2 linked regions of the Lepisosteus oculatus genome follow. The protein of the gene in region 1 binds, or shares a complex with, the protein of each later gene. Links are inferred from orthologs where the notes say so. Each region holds a gene or a part of one and is shown on either strand. Other genes may lie near its edges. The genes, in order: wdr20a and usp46.

Region 1 (7,990 bases):
TATGAACTATTAAAAGCTACACAAAATATTCTAAAAACTTTTTTGAGCATACTAGTTTAGATGCCGTCTGGACATGGGGAAATGTCATTTTTATAAACAAAACCATACACTCTGTATTGCTGGAACCAGTTAAAATCAATTATAACGTCTGTGCAGATCCTGGGTTTCGACACAAATTTTTAGTAAAGAATTAAATGCATTTATACATTTAACTTGTCTTCCTCTGCTAATATTCAGTTAATTTCCCTAAGGCTCTTTATTCTGCCAAATTCTGTCAAACATAATAGAGGAACGTATAAATTAATACCACACTTGTAAGCTACTGTACCCTTCTTTGGCACTCAGTACACAATTTCAGAGCAGACTTGCAGTTTTTCTATTTTTCAGGCATGTTTTTTGATTTTGTTATTTTTTGCATCGAGGATTTAACATTAAATAAACCCAGATTTATTTTTCTTGTGAAACGAGGATGAACTTCCCCGGTTCACACTGCAGGCCCCCATTGTAATCAGCTCCTCTTTGCTGAGCTGCCTAGCAGTCCGCTGTCCCAGCTACAGTACAGCGCGCCTGGCCACACGAGCTGCTCTGCCATGTGCCCTGTCTGCTCACACTGCAAAACCCTCCGCCATTTCAGAACTGACCACACCGGAGAACTACAGGGACCTGGAGAAATTCACCCGCCTCATTCATTTAAGCCCCAAGGCGCGAGGATTTCCCGAATACTTCAAAAATGTAAAATTATCCCGTAATTCCTCCTTCACCCCCGCCCCCCGGCATATGTGTAGTCTTTTACTCACCGTGCTGGTTGCTTTGCAGTGAGCTGCGTTACTGTGTGTGGTTCTCTCTTCTTCTCGTCTTGCTTGTGTGTTTTCCAAAAACTGAGCTCCCTGAGCCTTAAGCTCCTTTTTATACCTAGGGGTGACTTTCCAGAAGCTCTCATTCAGAAACTACCAGAAGGAATGCCCACTGGGGCGCGGACCTAAAGAAAGTAACAGTGATAGGGGCACTTTTTGCAGCTGTCCTGGTCTTCCCTTTTAGGGATGCAGAGTTGCAACAGGGCCCCGCCAATCACCCCTGCACCACCGGGCCCTGGCCAGAGAGCAAGGCCTGCCCAGCGCAGCAGCTGTCTGTGAACCTCACCACCACAGCTGAGGCCAAGACCCGCTCCTTCACATGTAAAAGATAAAAACCTGGGACCGGACGGATCCTCCGGCCTTCTTTATCCCAACCCGACTGTCCATCACACCACACAACCGTCAACGTGCTCCCAAAGAAGCATACTCCTGTCTATTGTGCACGGCAAAAAAGGAAGCACTAGCATTCATATTCTCAGTATACATCAGATTAATAGATTCACATGCGTAGGATGAGGCACATTATACAACACCCAACCCCTGAACCTTAGCTGTCTTACATAAGCAAAGCATAAAATAATGTTTTTTTTTTTTTAACCCATGAGAACTGAAAACAGCTTTGAATCTCCCAGGATATACAGGATGTTACTATGGTCTGTGTAGATATTCCAGGAGTGGCACGTGTTTTTGCTCGTCTGTGATATTACATCAATGTACAGTATGTTTTGTGGGACTAGGTTTGTAATATTGTGATATTAATACGATGCTGTTTACATTTGTAGGATAACCAGAGAAGCAGTGCTAGGAGGATCTGAAGAATAGTCTTTAGCACTGATAGGCAGAATGATCAGGGAAATTATTTGGGACAGGTAGAGAAAAACGTCGTTCAATCATTGCTATGATTAAGATGTATACGAAAATACGGAGGCATAGACATAGATCTTAATTGCAATGCTCCTTTGCTTTCTGCACCTTTCCTGTACTGCAACTGACCGTTCATTCATTCATCCAGACTTTTTCATTTGCCTCAGGATAAGAATTGTGTGATAGTCGGTTGTTTGTGCAGTTTTCTAGTGCACGTCGCATGTGTTTCGTGTTTTTATTTCAGTGAAAATCCGTAAAAAAAAAACTGACTGCGGAAATGCAATTATGGCAATGCACAAATTCGTTTATCCGTATTTTGTCAGGTAATCTCTAGAAAGATCTCGAAGTGTGCTGAACCCCAGCTTGCGCAATTGATTAAGCATCGCAATGTCAGAGCGAAGGTAGTCCATATGAGTTTCTGTAACCTTCAACGAGAACATGCTGGAAGTTCACGCCAGCTCTTCCTGGTAGGAGGGCCCAGCTGTCAAGCATGCTAGACGGAGGAGGGCCAGCGACAGTCTTGGAATTTCTTGTTTTGATTCAGGACTGTGAAAGTTAACCCGGGATTCTAGAAAGACGCGAGGAGAGATGTTTGTAGAAAAAAAAATCTCACCTTTTCATTCTAGAAAGCTCTATATGTAGGATTGGATCTGCAGGGCTTTTTAGGATTTTTTTTTTCCTTCAAGAAAGGTCGTCCTCACCAATCACTGAAGACTTCAGCGCGGCCCTCATCGACCATGTGACTCTTGACGCCGGGCGCTTGCAGTCACTTCATCGTTGTCTTACATATTACTCGTTCATCGGGCAGGCACTTGGAAGTGTTTTTTTTTTCCTTTCGGTTCACAAAAAGACATACAAAAAAAACCCAATTGTTTCTGCTCGTTCTCCTTACAAACAGCTCCCAGTTTTTGGATTGTGCAGAAGGGGTCATCGGATTTTGCATGAAAACGTTTACGTAAATTAAAGAAGGTACTAGTAAGGTTCTGCACAGGGATAAAATGTGAGGACTCACCCAGTGTTACAAAGTGTGCGATCTATCCTCTATAGCTGTTCAGATCTATAATATCAATTCCTAGTTGGACTCTGGAAACGGAAAGCGCACTGTTGGCTAAATTTCATATTAGCGGCATAATTCGAAGGGTAAGAAAATGCGGTAATTAAAAGGTAAAAAAAAGATGGGGTTTTAGTAAGCTTTTTGACCAACTTTTATAATGTAAACGTTTTTGTTTCTGCACTGTTTTCTAAAATGCTGATAAAATGCTGTTTTTGTTTACTCGTACCTTTGTCTTTATTATTTTATTAAACTTAGCTAGGAAAAAGATATAAGATCTTATTTTTGTCTAGACAAATGTTTAGACACGTTGTAATTTTTTTTTTCTATTAACTATACCAATACTTTTGATAGATACGTTAGGTCCCAAATGTACTTTAATTTAATGTACAGTACATGCTCTTATCAGTTTAGGAAAAGGTCGTTAATATGCAGTTCTGCTCTTAAAAGTAATGCTCTTTAAAAATAGTCAGGACAACAGGATAACGGGGAAAACGTTATCGTCACTGCATTTTTAAAGGCGTGGGACACAAACATTTTCAGGTTTTCCCTAGCATCATGAAATATTTGATCTCTGCCACCCTTTAACATGAATTCGCCTCATGAATCTAATATAATAAAGTTCAATGCGTGTATCTTCGACTTATTTTATTCGAGCTTTACGGTCTCACGTTTTGGTCGTGATGTTGTCAACCTTGGTTGGCCACTAGGAGGCGCCATCGGTTCGCTTTTTGACGCAATCTGCACCCGTTATCGCACTAAACTGTACCACACGCCAAAATAACAAGAGTACAGCAACACAACTTCATTACAAGAGAAAACAAACGTATAAAATGAGCGCTTATTAACCTGTTTTGAGGTCATATGGGGGTTGTTGCGTGTGATTATCCACAGCAGGTCAATATCAGCAGAGACGTGGAAATTTGGAAGTCAAAGTCCATAGCAGAGCATAGTGATTCATCCGGCCCGAGCTCATCCTAGTTACCTTAGTGTTAAGCGGACTAGGACCATGTGACTAACCCCCAGCCGAAGATGGGACATAGGTTCATCGCAGGCATTACCCCCTATGGGAACTATGGGTAAGGTACCTGGCTGACGGGTACATTAGTGTCTGCAGCGGTGACTCGAACCCGCAACCTGTCAGTTATGAATCCAGCGGCTCGTTCACTTCTTTACGCTGTTCCCCTTCAAAAATGGTTTATTTGTTTTATTTGAGAGCCCAGGGGCGTTGATGCCGTTGAACGGGATATAAGCAATCAGGCCTGCACTCCCGATGTCTTCCCTCACGTTGCCGCCGTACATGTAGTGTTAAAGAATAAAGAAGTTCAACAGTGTCAAGTCCTGTCTCTTGTACATAAACCTGACGAGAAACATATCAAAGACTGGGATGCGAAATCGACTATCCTCACTCGAGATCGGATCATTTCTTTAAGATCTGCGCACTGTCTGGATGTTCAGTGAAGGTTTTCCCTCATAATACATTTAATTAATTTGACCCTTGTTTTGGTAGTGGAGCAAGGCACGGTTCTCTCCCTACGTGCCATAACATATTATTGTTATTGTTATAGTTTTATTTCATTTTTTATGGATGGACAATCGCGTTGTTTCATTTTGAAAGACTGGTATGCTGGAGACTATACCAATAAGCTATATGTTAATGTTAAAAGCAAATAATAACAAATAAAAAATACCGTGAGTCGTACATAGATCTATATTATATGCGTACACATGTGAATACAGTGTTTTATAACCAATACATAATGCATTTTTACCCGATAACGTGTTAGCAGATAGCACGTTTCCAGCCTTGTAACGTGTGAAAGACGTCGTCATCAGAAACTGTGAATATTTTGAAACTCTCATGCAAGTTTCTCTTTTAATTGACCCTTTGTGGGTGATGCCCTTGACAGCACTGCGGTGTGAGCGCTGACCAGCGATGGCCTCCGGGCGCAGTCCACCTCCGCTCTTACCTTGACGAGCCCTGTGACCCGCACTCCACATGCTATTTTGCAATTAAGGAAGAAGCACGTGAATTCCTGGATCAGCTGACGAACCAGCGCCATGCGAGTCGGCTCCGCGAGCAGCAGTACGCATGCTCCGTGTGTAAGATCCGGGCTTGGGGCAGGATGAATGCTAATTTTCAAGATGGCGGCGGAGGGAGGAGGGAAGGAGATGAACGAAATTAAAACTCAGTTCACCACCCGGGAAGGCGTCTACAAACTCCTCACTCACTCCGAATATAGCCGCCCCAACAGGGTGCCTTTCAATTCCCAGGGCTCTAACCCCGTCAAAGTCTCCTTCGTCAACGTCAACGACCAGTCTGGTAACGGCGACAGAATCTGTTTCAATGTGGGCCGGGAGCTATACTTTTATATCTACAAAGGCGTCAGAAAGGTAAACAGGACGTTACGTTCTCCAAGCCAACGGCTCTTATAGCATTAATGTTTGCTTTTAAAGTAGAGAAGTAATGGGGTATAATGCGGCTGACGCAACCAAAGTGACACCTACCTCCAGTTTGCTTTTCGCCTTTCTTGTTAAACAGTTGTGGTATGCACTGAGCTGACAGCTGAAAAAGGCCCTGTTTCACCTGCTTTGGAATGTGCATCTAGCGTCCGTCATGGTCATATATAGACGAAGTGGTGCACAAATGTGTCTAAACTTGCGTGCGTGAACTTCACGGTGTCTGTGCTTCAATCGTTCGGGACGTGACGTGCGGCGACAGTCGGGTCGTGTGACAGATCTGCTCAGTTAGCTTGTGTGTGAGGTGCCACGCAAAGCAATGGATGTGTCTCCATTTGGTTACTTGTTTCTCATTTTCTCGGGGTTGGTGTTTTATCCGTAGTTGATCTCACTTTCCAAGGCGACCCTGTCTTGCGGAGGCGGTACGCGAAGCAGAACTATATGGTAACTTAGTACGCCTAGCGTGCGAGCTGTTTTGTGTATTGCATGAATTTGCCGTGACCGACACGCAGGTCTCTCTGGTTGTGACTAGGACAGAGGCGTAAGAGGAGACGTTAATGATCTGAATTCAATGTGTGAAATCATGCGTAAGGTGGGCGTATTGTAAACTGTTAAACACTTTCAGCCTGGATGAGCGGAGTCGCTGTTCGACGCAGTATGTAATTTCGGGTGTCAAGAGTACTGCTTGATGATTATTATGTGGCTTAAGTGCCCTATCAGACAACCTTTCGTTTCTTCAGCAGTTTGGAAACCCTTCGTTGAGGTCGGTATTGAAAATGTCTGCTCTGATCTCTGTAGAAGGCTACAGATTTGATAGAAAATCACACTGTTTTCCCACACCGTGAATGTACTTGGGGGTTATGGTAACTCTGGGAACACAGGTAATTTGAATGTCGAAGGATTAAAGCCACGCCTTATGTTGGAAAGTCATGCTGGACGTTCACCGTGCCCGTATACCCAATAAAGCTGGCATTGCTCAGCAAGTTTGCAGTGTCATTGGAGTATGCGGGAATGTTTCACTTTTGAGAGTTGAGCGTAATACATTTATGTAGAGGAGGGTTGGAAGAGTACTGCTGAAAGGGTATTGTAATTTTAAAAAAAAAATACTTCAGGTAATAACCCCAGATATTTAAAGACAGTCTGTCATATCTGTTGATTGAGATTTGTTGAGAACACTGCGGTAGTTCTCACATGTTGAGAAAAGGTTCAAATTAAAGTGCTTCCTGAAAATGTCTGGTTTGATTAAAATGGGAATACTACGGCATTACATTTCACTGAACAGCTTAGTATTTAATTGGAAACCTGTGCCAGGCTGTGTACTATATCCTGCTCTGTCCTGAAGTTGATTTGAATGCTGTGTTCTTGAGTAATGTGCCTCAAGGCTTTCAGTAATACATTCCAGAGCTGACACTATCCCATTACGTGCCTTATCCAAATTTCCTATATCATCCCGTTTTTCATCACAATTGTAAAGTCTGGGCTCTGAAAATACTGTTCTAAAGCTGATGGTGTTCTATCTGCTTGTTCCTTCTTTGCTCATGGGTTTATGATGTATTTTCTATGTACCTGGAATCACTTCTTGGTGGCACAGTATAGACAACTGTAGATGCTTGATTTACCCTTGAGTTCCTAATTGTCAAGAGTCCGAATGTCTATCTGGGTGAATACATCAGGGTTTTCTCTTATCTTTAGTCAGTACATAGTACATATTTCATTCATATGTACATGTATAGCTAGACGATGTTTTGCATTGTAGTGTTTGTCATCCATCACAATGCCTATGACTCCCTTATTGTAGGACACTTAGGACTCAAACACATTCTCAGAGTGTGGAGATTTTGCCACTGGGTGTTGGGGGTTCTTCATGGAAAAACTTGTCAAATGCTTTGTAGTCTTGGGAAGTGAAGTCTATGCTGGTCTCTTTGCATGCAGACAAAACTTTATGTGCAAGTTTCTTTGCAAGTAATCTGACGCATGTCTAGAGAAGTGACTTTACTAGTGCCTCCCTCAGTAGCAAAACTGAAATCTATTACGATTTGTCTTGACGCTATGTCCGCTTAATAATGCTAATATATTTTACAGTTAAGAATTAATAAAAAAACTGTACAAAGAAGTCTATGCTTAAAATGTACATATTAATTTGCATGTATTTAACTGCATATGTTGCTCATGCAGTTACTGTTTAAAGTACCAACTCTTCTCGTTAGACAGATGGACTTAATTCTCTTGCAAGAAAGCACATTTGCAGATCTCAGTGGAACCTTTTTTATCTAAGTGAAAATGCTGTTTTTCCTCTTGGATGGTCTTATTAAAACTATAAGAATGAGGAAGGATTTAGAGCTATATGAACTCTTCAGTTTACCAGTGTGACTGATAGTGCAGATGACCAGGTGGGTGAAAGTCCTCTGCCTGCACATGGAGTGCACATTTAGCAAAGAGACAGAGGATACATGCTGGCCAGGCACTCACTTAAATCTGGGCGAAACATGTGGTTAGTAATAGTAGTGCAGTATGTCCTTTACAGAACTAACTAGGATTGTAACTTTTCAGCTTTAAATTTCTCTCAAAGCCATATTTCAAGTTGCCTTTTGATCCATGGATCTGTGATTCATTTTCGTGCTTTAGTTTTTGTTGAAAGAGTTGCAGGGATATCTCTTGTTCAATTTTAGAGAAAAATATATTCTAGATTTTAATTTAAGATGTAGCTTAAGACATTAATTCTGTCAACTACGTGAATAAATATGCATTGAAGTGAAATAAG
Region 2 (7,267 bases), on another chromosome or scaffold:
AGCACTGTACTGTACGACGTCCACAGCCAGCAGCCTGAGCGCGTGACCCCACTGGCGTGCGCTCATCCGAGCGCTGTGCCAGGACAACACGTATGACCGTGAACAGGCCGCTCAGAAATCTGCACAGATGAGCTGTAACACGGACAACGTGTCGTTTCTGGACAACGCAAGACTGCTTCTGGGGGGAAAAGGAGAAAGCAACCTAAACGTGTGGTGATCTCAGTGTTGTCACGCGTGTCCCAGGAGGGCTCTGTAAAAACGCACCGGCCCTCGTCGAAGCCGCCACGCAGCGCCCCCAGAGGCTCTCACCGTTTTCCTTGCGCAGCCGGGAGATGAACTTCTTGGGGGGGATGACGCCCACTTTCTTCTTCTGGGTGGCGATGCTGTGGAAGAGGTCGGCCAGGCAGGTGAGCAGGTTCTCCTTCTTCTTCTGCTGGGCTCTGTAGGACAGCACGTTCTCGCGGAACGGTCGGCAGAAGAACAGCGCCTGCAGCACCGAGTTGCAGTAGCACGTGTTGCCGAACTACAGGCGAGAAGGAGGAAGACAGGGGGTTTCTCAATTACACGCCTGCCCTTCCCCGGGGGAGAACGAGTCTCCTGCTCCGCGGGAGAAGCTCGTCTAGTTTAAAAAAGACACGTGTGCCAGAGGCCTGGGGAAGCTCTGCGCAGAGCCTGCTGGGTGCAAGACTCCCAGAACCCTCTGCAGGAGAGCCGCTTATCCGGGGCCTCAACTGTTCCTGCAATTCCAGAGGCCTTTACTACAGGGGCCATTAGTGCCAGGCGAATGCCTGCTGATTGTAGTTTTTTACTTTTTTAATGCGCAGTTCAATTCAAAGGTTAAATGACTTTCCAACCCCTTCAGTACACTCTTCATCTAGGAGAACCATATTTGATGACTAAGACCCTTCGACACCAATGCCTGCTCCTCCAACAGGGTGCCAGTTTCCGACTGGAGAACGAAGCAATATGAATGGAGAAGATGCATAATTAAATAAGTATTGAAATGTTACTTACATTGACCAAGCCGAAGTAGTGTTCATTGATTGGAAACTGCTCCAGACCAATGTCTTTTTCCAGAGCAGAGGCATTGGTGCCCTGTAAGAAAACACAGATCGAGCTGACAGGCGGATCTCAGCTCCTTAACTTCAAACTTCAAGCCTCGCAGCGACCTGACAGCTGCATTCAAGAGCGCTGAGCTGCAGGTGCAGCTGAAAACAGATACCGCCACTCGGAGGAACACTGCAGCAAAAGTCAGATTCATTTAGTTTTCTCAGTACTACCCAAATATCCTTTGACAGTCTCTTCAGGCAATAACAAAGGAGATTTACAGGAGACCAAGACGTAGGGACCTCAGTTTAACAACTAATCTGAAGTACAGCACCTCCTGCTGAACAGTGTGCTGGTCACCTCATTGTTGCAATGGTTTTGGAATTTGTAACCAGAGGGAAGAGTGCCTCCTACTGGTCCATCAACACCATTTACAACAGCAAACTGGTTTCCCAGAGTGGCCCCCCTGCAGACCTGGCCCGGCCTTGCTGAGCTTCTGAGCTGTGCTGAGATCAGGACAGAAGGTTCTGGGGTTATAGTGCAATGTATCGATAATTTTCTCCTTCAAATTCAACATATAGAACCTGTCATTATTTCCATACTGGAACTAAACATCACACTGCAAGAACATGTTCAATAATGTCTAAGGTTGCTGAAAAAAGTAATTGGAACTGTCCCGGTTTTTCTTTAATGCTCTTTATGAAAAAAAGAACACAACGAGAAAAACTTTATCTCATAATTCGCCACAACTTACTAAACCTGCAAGCTAGCGTGCTTGTTATCATCATAAATATTTTACGTCTCAGGAGAGGCAGTTAAAATGAGTTTCCAATTAGCAGATGTTTTCCCAAGACTCGTCTTGGGGAATCAGTGACAGGCACTGTGAATCATGTATTTTACACACTTTCAGGACAGAGGGGAAAATGAGCGCGGTGCCTGGGCTCCACACCACACGCTATCAAAAGTTGACCTCGGTGTAAGTCTTTCAGAACTGTCGGGAACAACAGGGACCATTTAATCGCGGATTAGCCTAGTTTTTCTTTGCCCGGCCAGATCTACGGAGAAGTTTCAAAATATGTACGCGAAGGATGCGCATTATCCTCGGGGGGAGAAAACAGACTGTATATACACAGTCAACGGCAAAAGAAAAGGTAAATCTCAGCCCGCACGATTGCAAAAGTCGCAGGAAACCGCAGTAAAACCATCCACCCGCCCGCCACTGAGTGACGCCCCGGCCGGCAGCCGTGCCCTTGTGCCCTCGGTTAGAGCTGCGCATCCCTGCCAGGCGCCCGGTCTGAGCCCCGGCCAGCGCTGGACCTAAGGCAACTCGCACCGGGAGCACCGGCGGCGAGAGAGCCCCCCGTACCCCCCGATCGCTGCCCGCCTGTCACCATCGCACACCGAGGGCCATCCTGTGCATGAGCGCTTTACTTACCATATTACAAATGGAGGCGATATTTCTGACAGTCATTTAGTTTACAGGGTCCCCCCTCAGCGCCATCTTTATAAAATAAACATGATTTACGGAGGCTGGACGATGCCGAAAAGGTCTTCCGCCGGCAGCTCCAGGAGCCAGGGAGCTACGCCGCCTTGCCCCGGCGCAATATACACACCGCCCCCCGGCCACCGGGCTCGGACCTGCGCCGGCGGATGCGTGCACGCCGCCCGGGCAGGGGACGAGAGGGCAGCGGGGCGCCCTAGCGCCCGCCTCGGTGCATGTCTCCGCCAGGTGATGCCCCCTCGCTGCGCTCGGACGGCGGACGCGAACAGGACGGCCTGCGTCGGGTTGCCGGGACCGGCGAGTCGCAGGGAGAAGTAGCCACACGCCCCCTCCCGCTCGCCGAGGTGGGTAGGTACCGAACCGGCTCGGAGCGCGGCGGCGGCGGCGGGGCCGGCTGAGAGACAGACCGGCTGGGCTAATCGGATGGCCGTGCGGGGATCCCGGAGCCGGGCTGCGGCCAATCAGCCGGCCAGCGCCGCAGCCAGGAGCCTGGGGAGGGGGGCGAGGCGACAGAGGCTGGAGCAGTTTAAAGAGAAGGCAGCTGTCAGGACTGATCCCACTCCACACACCGCGTTAAACACGCTCTGCTGTTCCTGAGCAGAGCTGCACTGTTGCACCGCTTCACTGAATAGTGTCCTTATATTTTTCTCAGGACAAACTTAAGAGTATCGCTCGGCCTTGTCTCCGCACGCTGTTCAGTGCTCTTTCCTTGGCTATGAAATAGAGCGCACTGAAGCTGGGAGTAGTCTGTATAGTGTTTTTTTCTTCCTGTTGTGTTAATGGCACATGGCTCGGACTGCTTGCCCCGAATAACAGATATTGTAGGTATCCCCTCACAGCAGGCTCGCAAAGGTGTAGCACTCGAAGGAAACAGGACAAGTCATGTCTGTTACTGAGGTCTGTTATTCTGTGGAAGTCTACACCTCCTTCACCAAGTGATTGCACCTGTTAACAGTACGAACCTTTGACCAAAACAAATGACCTGTTCCAACAACATTTAGAGAAGCTGTACAGGCTGAGAAGCACAGCACGGTGTGATTCCTGTTGGACGTTAGGGAGGAGCATCTGTGAACCAGGGTGTCAGGGGGCGTACGTCCTTCTGGTAGAACGCTAGCGTGTGGCAACAGCAGGGGACACAGACCTTTCCTCTAGAAGTACCCATGGAGCTGCGGTCACAGCCAGGGTAGAGCATCAGCAAGAAGCACGTGTTGTCATCTATGGGTATGCGAACGTGTAACACTGTGTAACGCTTACGGCCGACAGGTACTGTGTAAGAGCCGGCTTACCAGAGCAGGTGACGTCACCGCCCTTCCCTGTGACAGCAGGACCACAGCCCCTGGGCTGGGGAGAGATCTCTCTTCGGCTCACCGAGCTGGGTCCCTGCTGAGCGACGCGGGAGTCCCGGGTTCGAGCCCCCCGACGGTGGGGGGCCGACCTAATGCGGCAAGGGTGCCCGCCTGAACCCCCGTTGCGTTACAACTGTAACAGAGCACTTCCAGTTCTGACCAATTGTTTCTTCAGCTCTGTGAAAGCTTGCCAAAAAAAAGACTTCTAAAATGTAACAACGTTTTTCTGGTAAACAGAGTGTTTACAGTGGAAGCACTATCTCCCATAATCAAGCCAGTTGGTGACATTTGGAGTTCTGTGGGATCTCTGTGGGATCTGTGTGGAGACAGCGTTCCGAGGAAGTCTCATTGTTTTTAATGATGCTTAAAATAGATGGTGCTGTACAACTGTCTGCCAGCTTCGTAAAGAGGCTACAATGTTTTATTAAACGATTAATGGGTCTTCGGTTGTGGTTTCTTAAGAAGAGTGGGCTATTGTTTCCCAAGAGGGCTTCCATGGAAATGCTTTTTTTAGTTTGCTTTTGAATTTGGTTTATAAGAAACTCAGTAAACTCAGCCTGCAAGACCTCATCTGGGAGGTGCTTGTTGGGAATACAAAGCTGCGTGCGATTTATTAGCTAGTACAGCTCATCCCACCAGGGACGGAGGATACCTCCTCTGGCTCCTTTCAAGTTGTGTTACATTTACACAGTCACATTCCCCGGTTCGCTGAAATGAAACAGAACTCAATTTCCCTTCAAAGAAGCTGGGAAGCTTTGAGCTTTGCTCATCCTAAATGGAACATCTACAAAACATTCAGGTCTAAACCATCAGATGACAATAAAAATGAAGTGTTTTTCGAAAGTTTTTGCTCCAGTGTGTATCTGTGAATGTACAGTATGTTCTGCACTGCAGAGTATGTCATGTCAGAGAGAAGACGAGTCAGACTGTTTGACCCTGCTTGCTCATCAGGCTGGAAGCTGCTCAATGAATTCAAGAACTCATCCCACCATATTTTGAAAGATCCCAGGGAATCTTCTTCAGCAGCTCTGCTGGGTAGTGTGTTCCAGACCCCCCATGAACATTTGTGTTAAAAACGCCCCCTGTTTTCACTCCTGAATGGCCTCCCTCTTAGTTACTGTCCCACCTGAAATACTTTTGACTGTGCCTCCTATATTGTGGCGTTGATTAGGTAACCATCGTCTGTAGAGTCTCAAATAGACGCTCAAACCCACCCCCCCGGTTCAAACCAATTGCCCACCCGCTCAAACTGTTCTGGCGATGGCCTGCTGTGTCGAGCCAGTGCCGTGCAGAGCTGCGCCTTTAACGAAGGAGGCCGGGCTCCGGGGCTCGCTAGTTTCCCAGCATGCACCGGCGCTCCTCCTCTTCCTCCTGGGCCGCGCGGTGGACGGACGCGCGGGCTGTGCGGGCGTTGTGCAGATTTGGAGAAATCGTGAAATGAAATGGCGCAGAGGGACGCAGCAGCTAGCGTTTCTGTGGGGGGAACGCGAGTGCAATGTCCCGCGTTATTATTCATCAGCTGGATGGTTAGTTATTGGGGGATCCTTTGTTTTCTGGGGGGGCGGTTTGTGCTGCACAGGCCTCCGGCTGTCTACCCCTGGTAGTTGACAAACCGTGTAGTTCAGAGAGGTAGAAGGAAGCAGTAGTGTAGCCTTTATACGTGATTAAAATTTGCTTAGCGGAATTGCGACGCAGTAATAATGCACTTTGCAGTGCTTGGGGAGGTCGCGGCGCGGTTGTGTGCTGAGGCTGTACGGGGAGTTGGGTTTTTCAGCGACCACGTGGCATGCGGATTTTGCTGTTTCGTTTTGTTATCGCCTTTTCCTGACGGGTTTGCCCACGTTTCCGTCTTGCGTAGCTTTGTCGAACGAACCGTCTGCTAGTATTTCTCTGGTAATGGAACAAGTAAAATTTTATTCTATGCTGAATAGAGAAGAAAAAAAAAACTTAGTGTTTTCCTTCTCTTTTCAGCAGGAATAAACTTTTACTCGTTCCTTTGCAGCTCACGCATGCTGACGCAGCTCCCTACTTGAACTGCTTTCGGTGATAACTGCGTTTGCATTGTGAGCTGTGGCTGGTTTCCCCTCCCAGCCAGGAAAGGGGCGGATAAATATAAATGCGGCCCTTTCTTCCTCCGTTTGGAGCCCGCAGCACTGTGCTCTTCACACCAGCAGGTCTGGGATACCCGGTCCGGGCTCCACGCGGAAGCGCCTTGATGTCGGTGCGTCTTTCTCCTTTAAAGAAGGAGGAAAAAAATCTCGTTTTTGTGTTTCCACAGCTGGGGGCGGGCCTGCGGCGTTCCGTGTCCGACACGGGAGGACAGATGAGTGCCCTCTCTGCCCCGAGTCCTGATCGCCTAGGTAGGTCCTGATCGCCTTGGTCTGTTGCGTGACGAGCGACCCCTCTCGGGTGTCGTCTGAATCGGGGGTCCTGCAGGGTCCTGTTTTCTTTGGATTCGTGTTCCAGCTGCGATCTGCTCCAGGGTGGGTCTAAGTTATTTTAATTGGTGACCTCACTGTAGTGCTTCTAACCAGGCTGGCGTGGGGCGGTTACAGGTAGCGGTAGCCCTCGATCACGTGGAAGATCTGTGTGATCGCCTGTAAGATGAGGGAAATGGTCAGCCACTCGCTGCCCACTTTGGACCAGAAGCCAGGAGCCCCGGCCCTGCGGGAGCTGAGTGTCAGAGCTCCGATGTCGATACTGTCCCAGTCGAAGTGATGACCTGGAGGCGTTGCACTGGTGGACCGCAGAGCGGGCATGCAGGGGTGACACTGGAGACGGTTAGATTCACACGCGCGGTCTCACGGGTACCGTCAGGACACACCAGGCGTTTTCTTATTCTAGTGCTGGCGTGCACATAGCGGTGGTGCTTGCTTTGTATGCTGTAGTAGTTCTCTGTGGGAGGCTTATTTTTTTAAACTGGATCGATGCACCATGTTCGTCTTTTGTTTCTGAATGCCGCAATGGAACGGTCCCCCGCTGGTTCGCGGTTGTGACTGTGGACGCGTCTCGACAAGCCTCACCAGGGCCCTGTGTTGAAAGGTGCTGTGTATGAGAGTGAGACTGACTGATTGACAGGTTGTCTTTTCAATTGCAGCCCCCTGACGGGCGATGCTGTCCTCCAGCCATCGCGGTGTAGTCGTGGCTCCGGGTTCGACAGGAAGGTATGCAGTCTTAATGGTTTTGTATCCCCTTAAAGCTTTGCCCATTTAAGGCTGTCAGTGTCTTGGGTGGCCAACACAGGGGGGAACAGCACTCCTCTCTTAAACCCGAAGCAGAGGTGCCGTCTCTGGTTCGGATCCTGTCGTGAGGAACACATTTACTCTGGAACTGAGGATGTCATGCGTCTAGTGTGTCCAGAGCTCAGATCTGT

What was found.
Region 2: the proteins of wdr20a (region 1) and usp46 are in contact, whole or in part, in a crystal structure (PDB 6JLQ), measured with the Homo sapiens proteins. The link is inferred for Lepisosteus oculatus from reciprocal best matches to the Homo sapiens genes WDR20 and USP46. Residues at the interface, in NP_653175.2 of Homo sapiens: Asn41, Ser42, Gly44, Arg151, Lys259, Tyr261, Phe262, Gly263, Glu282, Asp283, Asp284, Leu285, His301, Lys304, Ser305, Trp306, Gln374, Asp375, Thr376, Leu509, Arg516, Met517, His533, Glu534, Arg535; in NP_073743.2 of Homo sapiens: Asn205, Thr206, Ser207, Thr209, His210, Arg213, Arg273, Val275, Phe276, Pro277, Glu279, Leu280, Arg281, Phe283, Asp293, Met295, Gln338, Glu342, Tyr344, Thr347, Ser348.

The regions. Positions count from the first base shown.
Region 1 is NC_090703.1:11,287,800-11,295,789, reverse strand, and holds the start of wdr20a (WD repeat-containing protein 20), read left to right. Parts: upstream 1-4,863; 5' UTR 4,864-4,899; coding exon 4,900-5,163; intron 5,164-7,990. UniProt on the Homo sapiens protein: Regulator of deubiquitinating complexes. Activates deubiquitinating activity of complexes containing USP12. Anchors at the base of the ubiquitin-contacting loop of USP12 and remotely modulates the catalytic center of the enzyme.
Region 2 is NC_090696.1:78,123,105-78,130,371, forward strand, and holds the start of usp46 (ubiquitin carboxyl-terminal hydrolase 46), read right to left. Parts: upstream 3,174-7,267; 5' UTR 2,519-3,173; coding exon 2,483-2,518; intron 1,096-2,482; coding exon 1,015-1,095; intron 524-1,014; coding exon 310-523; intron 1-309. Other genes in the region: uncharacterized protein, read left to right, coding at 5,155-5,420, 6,992-7,058. UniProt on the Homo sapiens protein: Deubiquitinating enzyme that plays a role in behavior, possibly by regulating GABA action. May act by mediating the deubiquitination of GAD1/GAD67.